Linked DNA regions of Lytechinus pictus. The protein of the gene in region 2 purifies or fractionates together with the protein of the main gene of each other region. This does not show direct contact. Links are inferred from orthologs where the notes say so. Each region holds a gene or a part of one and is shown on either strand. Other genes may lie near its edges.

What was found. The genes of interacting proteins can lie anywhere in the genome.
Region 1: the proteins of FAS-associated factor 2-like (region 2) and ubiquitin-associated domain-containing protein 2-like purify together in Homo sapiens (affinity purification with western blotting; 7 studies listed by BioGRID and IntAct, with this or other methods). This does not show direct contact. The link is inferred for Lytechinus pictus from reciprocal best matches to the Homo sapiens genes FAF2 and UBAC2.

Annotation. Positions count from the first base shown.
Region 1 is NC_087260.1:29,144,915-29,152,151, reverse strand, and holds the start of ubiquitin-associated domain-containing protein 2-like, read right to left. Parts: upstream 3,009-7,237; 5' UTR 2,920-3,008; coding exon 2,883-2,919; intron 1-2,882. UniProt on the Homo sapiens protein: Restricts trafficking of FAF2 from the endoplasmic reticulum to lipid droplets.
Region 2 is NC_087245.1:41,343,661-41,351,143, forward strand, and holds the start of FAS-associated factor 2-like, read right to left. Parts: upstream 3,012-7,483; 5' UTR 2,989-3,011; coding exon 2,941-2,988; intron 1-2,940. UniProt on the Homo sapiens protein: Plays an important role in endoplasmic reticulum-associated degradation (ERAD) that mediates ubiquitin-dependent degradation of misfolded endoplasmic reticulum proteins.

The DNA.
Region 1 (7,237 bases), on a different chromosome or scaffold from region 2:
AAAACAGAAATAAACTGGATTTGGGGCATGCATAATCTAGGTTTTAGGATTCAAAGAGGAAGAAAGGAAAAACCATTGTTTTGTACAGCTATCTGAGTTTGCTATGCACTATTTATTTACTTTACCATTATCTCTACACAGAGATTTAAAAAAAGTCCACACAACCTGCGAACAATACAATTCATTTATTCACTTTCAATCATTTCATTTTTACAACGATAGAAACAATTATCAACTAGCAAAGTAAAATAACAGCAAGCAAGGTTTACATACAAGATGTATAAAGTGAAAGTAACTTAGTGGTAGTGGCTGCAGAATTAATATTTCAGAAGTTTGTTTTATTCATTTTTAATGTTTTTCTTTATATTTTTCGGGCCACCAAACTTTAATATCGGGCCACCAAAAAAAATTATTTGATGGTTTTGGTGGCCCGAACGGGCCACCACCAAAAAAAGTTAATGTGGAGCCTTGAAATAGGAGTAATGCCGAAAATTTGTTAACAAATTATAATTTCCTCCTATAAAAGCCTCTTAATTTATTTTGACTTGATAGGGGCCTATACCTGATGGAAATTGCTTCATTCAATATAAAATCATAACGGATAGAACGCCTTGAATACAGGCCAAACAGCCTAACGACATTGCCGTGTCACGTGACAACCAGTATTAAACCAGAATGTGCACAACCCTATGGCGACAAAATTTGCCGCAAAAGTTGAGCAAGTTCTGGACAAAAAGGCTTCAATACCCCAAGAAAAGACCAGGCGAGTACTATTTATACATTTTTTTCAATTTAGTAATATCTAGAGTCTAATTTAAGAATAGATTTCGTCATGGAGCTCCATGGTAAGATCTAGTAATTTAAGTCCAACATTTAATTCGCGTGCACTCATTTTTTTAACACAGGAATTAATAGCCTTGGTGCTTAGAGTGAAGAAAAGACCAGGCGAGTACTATTTATACATTATTTTCCATAAGTAGTATCTAGGGTCTAATTTAAAAATAGATTTCGTCATAGAGCTCCATGGTAATATCTAGTAATTTAAGTCCAACTTCTGATTCGCGTGCACTCACTATTTTAACACAGGAATTGATAGGCATGGTGCCTAGTCTAGAGTGGGTGTGAGGAATTTACCGTACTAGCATGACTAGGGCCTACATAAATCTAGACAGCTGGCAGCCGTCTGTTTCGAGGAGTTTTTTAACATTTTTTTATTTTTTTTATTTCTCCTCATACACAGACGGCTCGCTAGCGTGTAACCCAGAGAGCTCCCGCCCGCGCAGCGGGCGGGAGCCCAGAAGCTTACCGGCCTAGAAGCTTACCGGCTCAGAAGCTTACCGGCTCAGAAGCTTAGAAGCTTACCGGCTCTCTGGGTTAGCTTAGCCAGGCGGCTTCTAGAGAGTAAAAATCATTTACTAACGTAAGGTCACTCTCATGAAGCCAGGGCTTCCGTCATATACTTTTGTGTGTACCACCAAAAAACTCGGCCATTTTGTTACGATTTTTAACAAAAATGGCCGATCGAGACGGGGTAGAAGGAGAGAACTTTTCGTTTTTTTTAGGTTCCAGACTGTGCCCAGATGTCAGGAATCTGCCACTCGTTAGACCTTCATCCATATAATCGTGGTAATTGTATACTTTCTGTTTTCACAATTCATTTGGAGAAATATTTAGACCGTAAATCACCCTAGTCCGGTGACAATGGTAAAATACACGGTAAGCTTCTGGGCTCCCGCCCGCTGCGCGGGCGGGAGCTCTCTGGGTTAGCTTAGCCAGGCGGCTTCTAGAGAGTAAAAATCATTTACTAACGTAAGGTCACTCTCATGAAGCCAGGGCTTCCGTCATATACTTTTGTGTGTACCACCAAAAAACCTGAAACTTTCGCCCCCGAGATTTCTACTTTTATTTCTAAAAGATCTAGCCCTAAATCATGTACATGGGATAAAACTTCATTTCCGACATTTCTACGCTCTCGTTGTTATTTTTGAACAAGAATTCATCAAAAAAATGAGAGAAATATTGTGTCACGCGTCTGTAACGTTGGCGAAGAACAATAGGAAACAAGATGGCGGCGTAAACATTGGGCAAGTCTCTTCCGTCTTTACACAATATTTCTCTCATTTTTTTGATGAATTCTTGTTCAAAAATAAAAACGAGAGCGTAGAAATGTCGGAAATGAAGTTTTATCCCATGTACATGATTTAGGGCTAGATCTTTTAGAAAGAAAGTAGAAATCTCGGGGGCGAAAGTTTCAGGTTTTTTGGTGGTACACACAAAAGTATATGACGGAAGCCCTGGCTTCATGAGAGTGACCTTACGTTAGTAAATGATTTTTACTCTCTAGAAGCCGCCTGGCTAGGTTAGCTAGCGTGCAGCCACCATTAGGGGACTTGCAATGCAAAATCCCCCCGTCTGGGCTCTTCAATTCTTGTCTTTAAATATGAATAAAGTTTTTGAAAATTAACGCGACCAAAATGCAAATTAATATTCCCTCTTGGCATTAATTGCCAAAAAACTGAGAAAAATCAAGTTAAAAGGAACAAAAACAGACTTACCTCAGCTGTCGCGTAAATTCACTTCCCCGTTTTATCCAATCTTAAGTACATAAACATATGGCCATTGAGTCCCCTGTACAGATCGCGCTAGAACTTCGGTCTCTGTATTTGGTGAGTGAAGCCAACGGAGTTCAGCTGAACAACCAACATATTAACAATAACAGAGACCGAAGCTTTTGGTCTAACATAAATCATAATACAAGGTATTCAATGTATGGGACTGTGATTTTTCATTTTCATGAAAAGCAACGGTGACATAATTGCGCTTATTTTGCGGGAAATAGTCGTGAACATTCAAAATATAAATATTTCAAGAAGAAGATTTACACTCACAAAACCCTGATGAACTGTATGGCTGTGACATCTTTAAATCGATTTAGACAAGCTAAAAAATCTCAGTTGGATTCCTGGGTTGATTTACAATCCGAACTTCAAGATCCGTGTTTCACGCATGCCAGGCTAGCTGAAGCCAGCGCCAGCGCACAAACCCAGCTGCGCACAGCTACAGTACAGACACTGGGGCCCGTTTCTCAACACCGTCATAAGTCTAACTTCTTGACTAAATCGGAGATAGTGAGCTACTTGTCCGCTAACCGTTTCACGAAGCCCTCTTTACCAAGATCGGGTACAACAACCTCACTAAATATTTATGACACCTCCGAACCTGTCATAACTTCTTTCTTAATGACGTAGTGGCATCACGTGGGTAGACTATGACATGCAAAAGCGCATATAAATTTTAAAATTATAATCTTACGTAATCAATCATAGAGGTTGAAATTACATCACAAAACAAGTGGGTTAATGCATTCAATGATAATTGTAATACAAAGAAACTATAAAAACTATTGGTAAAACGCCACAAAACCATTCATTTTGAAATAGTAAAATGATTTAATCGATAAATATTCTACCACGTCAGGCCATCCATAACTGAACTCGTATTTGTTGTTTTCAGACCCCTATTAACAGTTGGATAAATTCTAATCTCTAATTTATGCATATAATTTGTCAAATATCGTATGTTTCGGTATCAATGGTTAAAAATGTTTCGTTAAACTATATTTTGATGACGTTCGGAATCGTAAAAGACCGCATAATTATCATCATTTTACAAAGAAAACCGTTATGGTTTACTTTCGTAAACTATTAAAATTGGATATCCCGGGGGTACCCAATCTCAACGTCCACAAGTGATTTTTTAGTCATGAAATGAATTATTCATAATTTAATTTTCTCTGCAATTGAATGCTCAAGTCTTCATGGTCTAAGTATGTATGATGCATAATTCACCTGTGCTATTATTTTGAAAAGATTTATTTCCCAATTTATCACAATATTTGCAATTTTGTAATAATTTTTCTTTTTTAATATTATGCTATTTTGTGACTAAGGCTACGTCTCGTCTGCTCGTTCTACCGATAGTATCGATATCAAGGTATTCTAGTTAGGAAACCTTTCGAGAAACATGTTTAGTAAGATTGGAACTAACTCCGTGGTTGGTGGATAAAGATATGACTAACTTGTCCATGTGTTGAGAAATGGGCCCTAGTTAATTAACAATTCGTTGATTGAAGCAAGCCAGCCATAGAGATGTATACTAATAACGCTAGAGGGCGTACTTCGTCAAATCAAGACATAAAAAGGTGATTTTGATTAGCGGCGAATTTATTACCAGACCAAAGTGGAATTGTTGGAATACACGTACATAATATAGCACGCCATAATAGCAGACGCCGTATTTTCGTCAATGCACCCCCTCCTTTCGGGGCATCGTAGACACCGTCCCCCTTTTCTGTGCACCAATGTTCACCCCTAGATCGATGATGTGATTAATAAAAATCAATTTGGTTGATTATCAAGACATAAAAAGGTGATTTCGATTAGCGGCGAATTTATTACCAGACTAAAGTGGAATTGTTGGGATACACGGATATAATACATAGCACGCGCTATATTTTCGTCCATGCACCCCCTACCTTTCGGGGAATCGTAGACCCCGTCTCTCTTTTCTGTGCACCAATGTTCACCCCTAAATCGATGAAGTGATTAATAAAGATCAATTTGGGTGATTTTTAAGACATAAAATGGTGATTTCGATTAGCGGCGAATTTATTACCAGACCAAAGTGGAATTGTTGGAATATACACGGACATATAGCACGCCATAATAGCAGGCGCCGTATTTTCGTCAATATTAATGCACCCCCACCTTTCGGGCCATCGTAGACCCCGTCCCCCTTTTCTATGCACCACTGTTCCCCTTAAATCGATGAAATGATTAATTAAGATCAATTTGGTTGATTTTCAAGACATAAAAAGGTGATTTCGATTAGCGGCGAATTTAACCAAAGTGGAATTGTTGGAATATGAGTAGCCTCAAGTTAAAGCATTTTAACACAAGTAATATTTTTAACATGATTATATATGATTTTGGGCAATACTGAAAGAATAACATATCCGTGTTATTTTTCACTATGTTAAGAGCGGATTGTATGAAATGGTACCTTTCTTAACACGAAATAACAAATAATTAGGAGTGAAACGAAGGAAACTTTCCGTATAAAATGTAATTCTTCACAGTCAGTGCTTGATCTCTAATTCCCTTAATTCTTTCTTCCTTTGTATGCATTTATCTTTGCATCCCTTTCCTTATATTATGCATTGATATACGTTGTTTTTGTTGATATTGTTTTACTATTTGTTTTTATACTGCCATTTTACTCCGCATGTGCAAATCTATCTTATTCAGCTTTAATTGGCTGCGAATTGAACGTTATCATGGTAAATACCGTTCATCTATCTATCTTTACCGTACTTTTATATAATATACATGTACAGTTATTTTCATTCATGTTATACCAATTTCATATGTCTCGCTTGGAAATAAATGCTATATGATAGTGGATATCTTCTATCCTCATTCTCTATCTCTTCCCTCTCTCCCCTTTTTATCTTTTGTTCCTCGCTTTCCTTCTCTCTCTCAAATGTCTAAAATAGATTATATTTTACTTCATCATGCATCCTGCATCTTTTATCTTGCCATAACTCTTCCAATCATATATATTCAAACATATTAAGTTTTCTTGGTTGATTTTACATCTTATTTAAGTATTTTTTTTTACAAAAACCTGAATATAATTCGAATTAATCCGAACGTTGTATTTTGTGTGCATTTCTACATGTAAGTCTATACAATTATTCATGATTACGTAAATATTGTCTGTGTCTCCATGTTTGTTGATATCACTGATGGATCTTAAAAGGGGGATCGAGAACATCCGGCCGGTTCCATTTTTGAGAAGTATAATGAAAACTTGTGCACTCACCTTAAAAGACAGAGTATATAATGTTTAAATGGTAAGGACCTGTTTTTTCGCTGTTGAATTTTCAGGAAGATGTGACAAAATCCTGGATCTGCCACATGGCCACTTGAAGCAATGTTGAAATATAAACTGCAAATCACCAGTTTTATCGCCAAGAATAAAGCATCTTAAAAAAGAGTTGAATGTGTCTAAAAACTTGAAAATAAAATCCGGCGAAGCAAAGTACGCCCCACTTATTTGACCTCACTTTCGGGGTATCTTAAAGGACAATTAGTCCACCCCAATAAAAAGTTGATTTGAAAACAGGAAAATCCTATTGAACATATAACACTGAAATTTTGATCAAAATCGGATGTAAAAGAAGAAAGCTATGAAATTTTAAAGTTTTGCTTATTTTCACATAATAGTTATATGCACATCCCGGTCGGTGTGCAATTGAGAGAACTGATGACATCACTCACTTTTTCTTTTGTATTTAATTATAAGAAATATGAAATAATCTAATTTTCTCCTCATTGTCCTGTGAAACAAAGTTTCATTTCTCACTGAACATGTGGAATTACCACTGTTTAACATTATATGTTTCAGTCGAGTTGGTCCTTATTATTGTCAAATCTGTAAAAATTGAAATATTGCATAATTCAAACAAAAACAAAAAACAAAAGAAATAGTGAGTGAGGGACATCATCGATTCTCTCATTAGCATGTGACTAATTTGTACTATTTTGTATAAAATAAGCGAAAATTTAAAATGTCATAACTTTCTCATTTTACATCCGGTTTAGATGAAAATTTTCAGCATTATGCTTGTCTGATTTTTCTCTTTTGATTCAAATCAACATTTTATTGAGGTGGACTTGACCTTTAAACCCATCCCTCTTTTCTATAAATCACTGTTCACCCCTATATAAGATGCAGAGATTAATAAAGTTCAAGTTTGTTGAGTTTAAAAGAGATATAAAGTTTATTTCGATTTTTGGCGAATTGAATACGATTCCAGGCCTACAGAAATTAAACTAATCGGATATGTCAATATACACTGCCTTCAGTTTACGGGCTTCCTACACACCGTCTCCCTTTTTGGTGCATTATTTTTCAACCTTAAATCGCCAAATGAATGGATAAAGATATATCATAAATTATGGAGTCACAAGAGATATGGGCTGATTTTGATTTTTGGCGAATTTATTACGAGCCCATACGAAGTTAACTAATCGGATTATAACGTATGTCGATGCACGCCCAATGTTTCGGGGCATCTTAGACCCCGTTCTCCTTTTCTGTCCACCAAAGTTCACCCCTAGATCGATTAAATAATTAATAAAGATCAATTTGGTTGATCTTCATGACATAAAAA
Region 2 (7,483 bases):
TAATAAGCTATAATTGCCAATTTGGGGTTTCAAACTTATAATATAAACAAATTTTGAATAATATAGTTATAAATTGGTTTTATGTGTATATTTGATTTATGATTGTAAAATAGAATCTATTTAGGCAAATGTAGATATCTACATGTACTTAGAGATACAATTCGTCGCCGATAAATTTAAAACATAGTAACATACAGAGAAAAAAAAATGCATCAACTGGCACCAAACTAGTTCAAATACTGTATTGCATTTCCATAAAAAATAGTCACACCACATATTTCTTGGTAATTCCAAAGCTAAGACAAGAAAAGAGGGATCTGTTGGGGACTTACATGTTATGAGCATCTCACTGCTGAATAAAGTCTTTAATGAACTAATTAATAGAAGCCATATTAGAAGCCCTATATATAGAAGCCCTATATGTAGTTTCAAGCACAATTGAAAGACCTACATGTAAGATCTGCTTTGTCATTTCTCTCTTCAAACTTGCCATACTGCCCGGGGGGGCCACTTACATTGACGAGTGGATACCATGCGCGACCAAAAAAACACGTAAAAAGGATGTCTTTTTCAAGATAGGGCACGTTACGTATGTAACGTGATAAGGGTGTCAAAAACACAAAAATATTGAAAAAAGGGTATCTATTTCGCTCGGAAAAATATACGTGTTTATCAGAGACTGATAATTTTGATTTTGGTATCCAATTTCAGAGACAGTCTCCAAGTTTTGGAGACCAATTTCCTTTATTTACATTTACAAAATCAAAATGTTTTATAAAGGATGTCCTTTTTGCCCCAACACTACGTGTTTAGAGTCCGATTTGCGCGAGATGTGGAAGGTGGGGTCGTACTAAACCAAAATAATGGTGTGTAAAGGTACAACCGACGACCAACGGACCCGTGACATAACAATAAAATATCGCTGTACTTGTTTAGGGGTTCATTTCAGGGAATACTTGCCAAGAGTATCGTTTTGTTTCCAATACTTGTTAAGGGGTGCATTTTCAGAATAGTGGAAAATACATCGCTGTACTTGTTTAGGAGCTCAATTTTGGGAATACTTGCCAATAGTATTTGTTTCCAATACTTGTTAAGGGTAGGGTTTCACACGCCAATACTTGTTAAGGGGTGCATTTTCAGAATATGGAAAATACGTGTTTAGGGTGCTTTTCAAGACCCCGTGGTCGCGCATGGTATCCACTCGTCAATGGAAGTGCCCCCCCCCCCCCCGGGCCGTACTGCAACTCTCAACCATTGCCTTAATGCTGAAATCACAATAGTTATTGTTATTTGTTAGTATTGTTTGTTATTTGATTACATGAGTCCTTTCTGAATGTATGAATATCTTCCTGCAAGTTACTACAGTACATGTATGTATAACTGACATGTAATGCACATTGCTTATTAGGAAAGGACACTCTGCATGCGCGATCATACAGCCAGGTATATTGCTCTTTATTATTAAGATTGATTAGTAAAAATTAATGATAAAGCTTGATTACATTTTAAAACCATTAATTAGTTACAACTTATCTAAACTATCGATCATTATTATGAATTATCAATGGAAGTTAACAATATAGTATTATGATTGGTAGGTGTAGTCCATTAGTGTGCTTCTCCTGATCATCCTCCCCCCCCCCCCCCCCCGCACATGTTGCTAATTAATCCCTAATTACGAATGGAAACAACATTACTTATAAAATCTTTTTTTGTATGACTATATTGCTCTCATAACAAGCTTTATTTTGACACCAAATACAACATCACATCTTGTATCAGCAGAGAAAATTAAAGGAATATACCCCAAAATTGTCCCGCAGATGTCACAACTCCACCTATTTACCAGCCCAATTCAAAACGCATTGCCATTTATAACCTAGGTACAGGGACATCTGAACAGCCCACATGGACAGCGATATTCTATTTTGGACATCCACATGGACATCTGACCTGCCTATATACATCGAAACCTGTAGTGACTGTAGGGACCATCAAAGGGAAACATAAACATGGCTTTATAGACACATGGCTGATATTGACAGTAGGGTTGCAAAATTCCTGGGAATTTTCATGGTAGATACTTTCCATGGGAATAAACAGGATTTTTGTGGGAATTTGGGGAATTTTCGGCAATTTTCAGGAATTTTTCAAAACACATTGTTACATTAACATTGTATATTAACAATGTTATATATTAACAGGCTATTATAAACTGGTAAATGGAAGCTTGGTTCTGACAAGTCCAAGCCTTGACATTTGCAGTAAAATGGAAAATAGTGTAATGCGATGTTTTATTTTTTCATGTTGAATTGATAAAGCTTCATTTTGCACATCATGCCCCATCATGTTACACTCACAGTAATGTACATTTATGTATAATACATGTATACACTTTGATGAATACCCTAGGCAAGTCAAAGAATAAAGAACTGTTTTATAAAAATTAAAAGTATGATATTTTAAGATATCAATTTATAAGTTTGTATTTATTTTTAAAAACACCATTGATAAGTTTTTGTGAAAAAATGAAAATTCCAGAAAATTCCCATATTCCCGGCAGCTGAAAATTCCCCAAACTTTCCAAAAATTTCCGGAAAGTTTCCAAGTCCTTTGCAACCATAATTGACAGGTTTTTTATACACATAATCTGCCTCCACAAGAACCAGATCTAGTGGTCACTACAGGCAGGTGGCTGCTATACATGTAGACACAGATTTAACTGTACAAATGGCCGATTCCAACAAGTGGACATTCGACCAGTGCCAGTAACACAAAGCTTAACGATTGATCATAGAATAAAATAAAAGCTTACAATACAATTGACTGCATTGACCACAATGTACAATCAATCATAAAAATATCAAAGCTCCTAATCAATCGCTACACTTTTGTGTTTAAGGGGCCATGAAGTATTTCTTTGACAAGCAGAGATCTCACCTCAATATTCCAGTCATGCTGATCCAAAATGTTGCGACATCTCACCATATCCTCAATCCCAGTAAGATCCTGCAGCCAAAAGAACGAACCATACAATATTATAATAAAAATAATAACATCGACTTGCAATGCATGTGATACATAGACTAAGTTTTCTGTTTAAAAAAAATTCTTTTTGGGGTAAAGTCCATGATTGCAACCAAGTGATTGGTCTGCTACGAAACCTGTTACTCATTTACTCATTTTTATAACTAATTCTTTAATCCTGTATATGCCTTAGGAGTACTATAAAGGTGAAAAAACAGGATTAATCCCCCATTTTTTAATCCAAATTCCAAAATGAATGTGGTTAATGTGGATTTTCTAGGGAAATTCATCATTGTTTACCACATTCGACACACAGGTCCATACTGTAGACCCCGTGTCAAGGCTCCATGATGACATGACGAAGACAGAGAATCTTATGATAAAATATCATCATAGATTTCTAGAGGCTAGGGGTGCATATGGTCTTATGGGACTCTTGCCAGAAGGAGGACTGCGAATAATGAGAAAATGTTAGAACACACAAAAAAACCAGAACAGCCGATTTTCCAGTCTTGATTCTAGTCTACGTTCTAAAGACTAAAATAAGTTTAGCACTAGCAAAAGCATAGCACTGCACTTTAGTTTAGCAGCAAATGTATACAAAGGAAATTAATTGGTCTCCAAAACTTGGAGACTGTCTCTGAAATTGGATACCAAAATCAAAATTATCAGTCTCTGATATAATTGGAGATAATCTCCAACATGGAAGACACTCGTCCAGATTGGCTTTGCACCAGACCTAGGCCCTAGCCTAGGGAATCAAGGTGCCGTTTGATAATTTGTTTTGATGATTTCGAAATGGTAAAATCAAAAACAAAATTTTGAGTGAAAACTTATGCTATTTTTTAGATTTAAAAAAGAACAAGTGGAGCGCCTCTGGCAGTCTCACCTGCATCACGCGATTCAATACAGCAGCAGTGCTGACTTTGAAAACTAATATAAAATAATTATTCACAAAAAACACCATTCATATGATACAATACTACGTTCATTGTCAATAAATGATATTTGACCATGATCATGCTACCTAAGACTTGTCAGTAATACTTAATTACCCCTATATCCACATTTTATTTAAACTATATCTATAAACTTTGAAAGTTATGACAGCAATCTAATAATTACATCCAAATGGCCAAAGTTCAATGACCTTAAATGACCTTTGCCTTTGGTCATGTGACCTGAAACTTGCATGAGATGTTCAGTGATACTTGATTCCTCTAATGTCCAAATTTTATGAAATAGACCAATACACTTACAGAGTTATGATGGTAATTCAACGAATACCCCCAAATTGGCCAAAGTTCATTGACCTTAAATGACCTTTGACCTTGATCATGTGCCCTAAAACTCACACAGGAAGTTCAGTGATACTTGTTTACTCTTATGTCCAAGTTTCATGAATCAGATCCATAAACTTTTAAAGTTATGATGGTAATTCAACAAATTCCCCCAACTTAGCCAAAGTTCATTGACCCTAAATGACCTTTGACCTTGGTCATGTGACTTGAAACTCTGGCAGGATGTTCAGTAATACTTGATTAACCTTATGTCTAAGTTTCATGAACTAGGTCTATATATTTTCTAAGTTATGATGACATTTCAAAAACTTAACCTTAGGTTAAGATTTCGATGTTGACTCCCCCAACATGGTCAAAGTTCATTGACCCTAAATGACCTTTGACCTTGATCATGTTACCTGAAACTCAGGCAGGGTGTTCAGTAATACTTGATTAACCTTATGGCCAAGTTTAATGAACTAGGTCCATATACTTTCTAAGTTATGCTGTCATTTCAAAAACTTAACCTTCGGTTAAGATTTGGTGCTGACGGCGCCGTCGGAAAAGCGGCGCCTATAGTCTCACTCTGCTATGCAGGTGAGACAAAAACGGTTGTTAATCAATAATTTCCTTTCAGGAATGTAAGAATGTTAAAATTTGTCCATTGATCTGTTTTTCATATTTTAAATTTTAGTTTTTCCTTTGACAAAATAGAAGCATTGAAATTCTTGTTTACTTTTTCTGTCTTTTCGTTTTATTTTTCATGAACAGAGAACTGATCTCATCTTCTTGTTTCCTTTTTCTGTTTCGAAATCAGAAGAAAAAAATTATTTGATCATACTGCTGTCGTCGTACAATCAGATAATTAATTTGCTTTGACAAAACATGATAATGAAACCAAATGCGCGTGCGCTGACATTGCATAGGGCAGCTACACGGATAATCACAGCTGACCAAAAAGCAGAAATAAGAGAAAAGGAAGAACAGGAAGAAGAGGAAAAAGAAGAAGAACAAAGAAAAAGAACAAAGAAAACAAAGAAGCAGAAGGAAGAAGAAAAAGAAGAACAAAGTAGAAAAAGAAGAACTAAAGAGAAGAAAGAGAAGAACACAAATGTGAGCAGAAAAATGAAAAGGAACAATAAGGAAAGGGGGAGGGTCGACAAGCAATCAAATCAGTTGACAAATAAAAAAGAGGGTTCTACCTCTGGCACAAGGACGGTTCAGTTGTGTGTGTGTGTGTGGGGGGGGGGGGGCTATCAAAAATTCTACTCCCGCTCAGAACTCACAATGTTTGACTGTTAGCTGATAGAGAGATGCAGTGAGTGTATATTGCTGATCAACCCCGCCCCCAACCGTCCTTGTTGTGCAAGAGGTAGTGCACTCCAGTCAGTAGGCAGGTCCCCAAAAGTGGCTTCTTTCATCCAAGTGATATTCAGGACTACAGAGGTTTTGCATATTTAATGAGCTTGATGCGGACCAAAACACCTCTTTTAATTTGGTAATTGCTGCTCTAAATATACATTAAAGTTTATGATTTTGGGATCATTGCAAAGAAGAAGAATCATTCTTTTGAGTCATGTGTTTGAATTTATTCAAAGATTTTGTAATGTAGGTGAAACTTTTGATCTAAAATATGCTAAAATCATTATTTTCGCCTGACAAAATTTATATTTACACTTTATTTTTGTTTAAGCCCAAATGATTTCTAGATCATGATAAAGCTGAATATCTATGCTTTTAAATGGTATAGGTTTCAAAACAAGAATAGGTTTAATCGGGTCAAGATCACACTTTTCATTGGCAAAGTTCATTTAAGCAGCTTGAAAACAAGAATACTGCACTCTGATTGGTCAAAGAGACCACACACTCAACAGTTCCAGTGCTGGGTTCACGGCAAGGTCACACTTCCCATGTGGTAATCAAATCAAATCACTCGCGTTTTTTGTTTTGAAGCCTTATCCAGCCAATCAGAACACTAGATTTCATGCTACTCCAAAATTTTAGAAATCTCTTCTTGTACTTTGGTGGGAAAAGTATGATCTTGACCCGATTAAAAGGTGCCGCATATTAAGAGTGACATTCCGAGAAAGTACAGAAATTCAGCTATAGGTGATATAGATATCTTCAAGGCTCAAAATAGAAAGTTTTCACACTTTGCAAAAGAAAACAGAGGAAGAAAAATTCAGTTTTGATGCACAATTTTCAGGCCTGACATTCACTTTAATATTTATCAAAATATTTTATACAAAATAAATGACCAATGGTATGAAAGAGAAACAGATTTATTCTGTCCAATTGTGCAAAGTTATTTAATTTGACTTGAGGATAAAGTAGGTAAATTTTTAGAGAAAGAAAATCTAATGATTCACAAGATTTTGCTGGGAATCAGCCTCGAAAGAATTTGGATGAATCTGGCCTATTTGCTCATTAGTATAGGCATACATGTAGGGACCTCTTTGTTTACTTGTCAATACCTCCCTTTCCTTATTGTTCCTTCTCATTTTTCAGCTCACATTCATGTTCTTCTTCTTCATCATTCTTCTTCTTTTTCTTCTTTCTTCTTTTTTTTTTCTTCTTCATGTTCTCCATTTTCTCTTCTTATTTCTGCTTTTTTGTCGGCAGTGATAATTCATAGCTGCCCTAAGCAATGTTGGCATACAGGCACACGGTTTCATTATTCTGTTTTGTCAATGCAAAACTAATTATCTAATAATCGTACCATGATATGGCAGCGTTACGATCAGATAATTCCTTTCTCTGATTTCAAAATAGACAAAGGAAACAAGAAGATGCTTCGATTGTCTGTTTTGTGAAAGCAAAAAAAAAAACCAGCAAAAAGAAAAAAGAAAGAATTTTAATTCAATTTTCTGTTTAGTCAAAGCAAATAAATAAGTTAGGCTTACCGGTACATTCAGAAAAAAATGAAATATGACAAAACAGTAAAACGGAAAAACAAACCATTTTTAACTATCTACATGTATGTTAGTCATTAGATCTAACAATAACAAGTAACATATCTAACTCAGTTAAAATGCTAGTATCTATTCTAGACTCACTTTTACTGGCAAACACACATTTCATTTCTGAAACTTTGAAAGTGAAACAAATTATTGAATAACGACCGTTCTACTATTTAAATCTCAGTTTCCACTAAATAGTTTATCACTTCTTTTTTT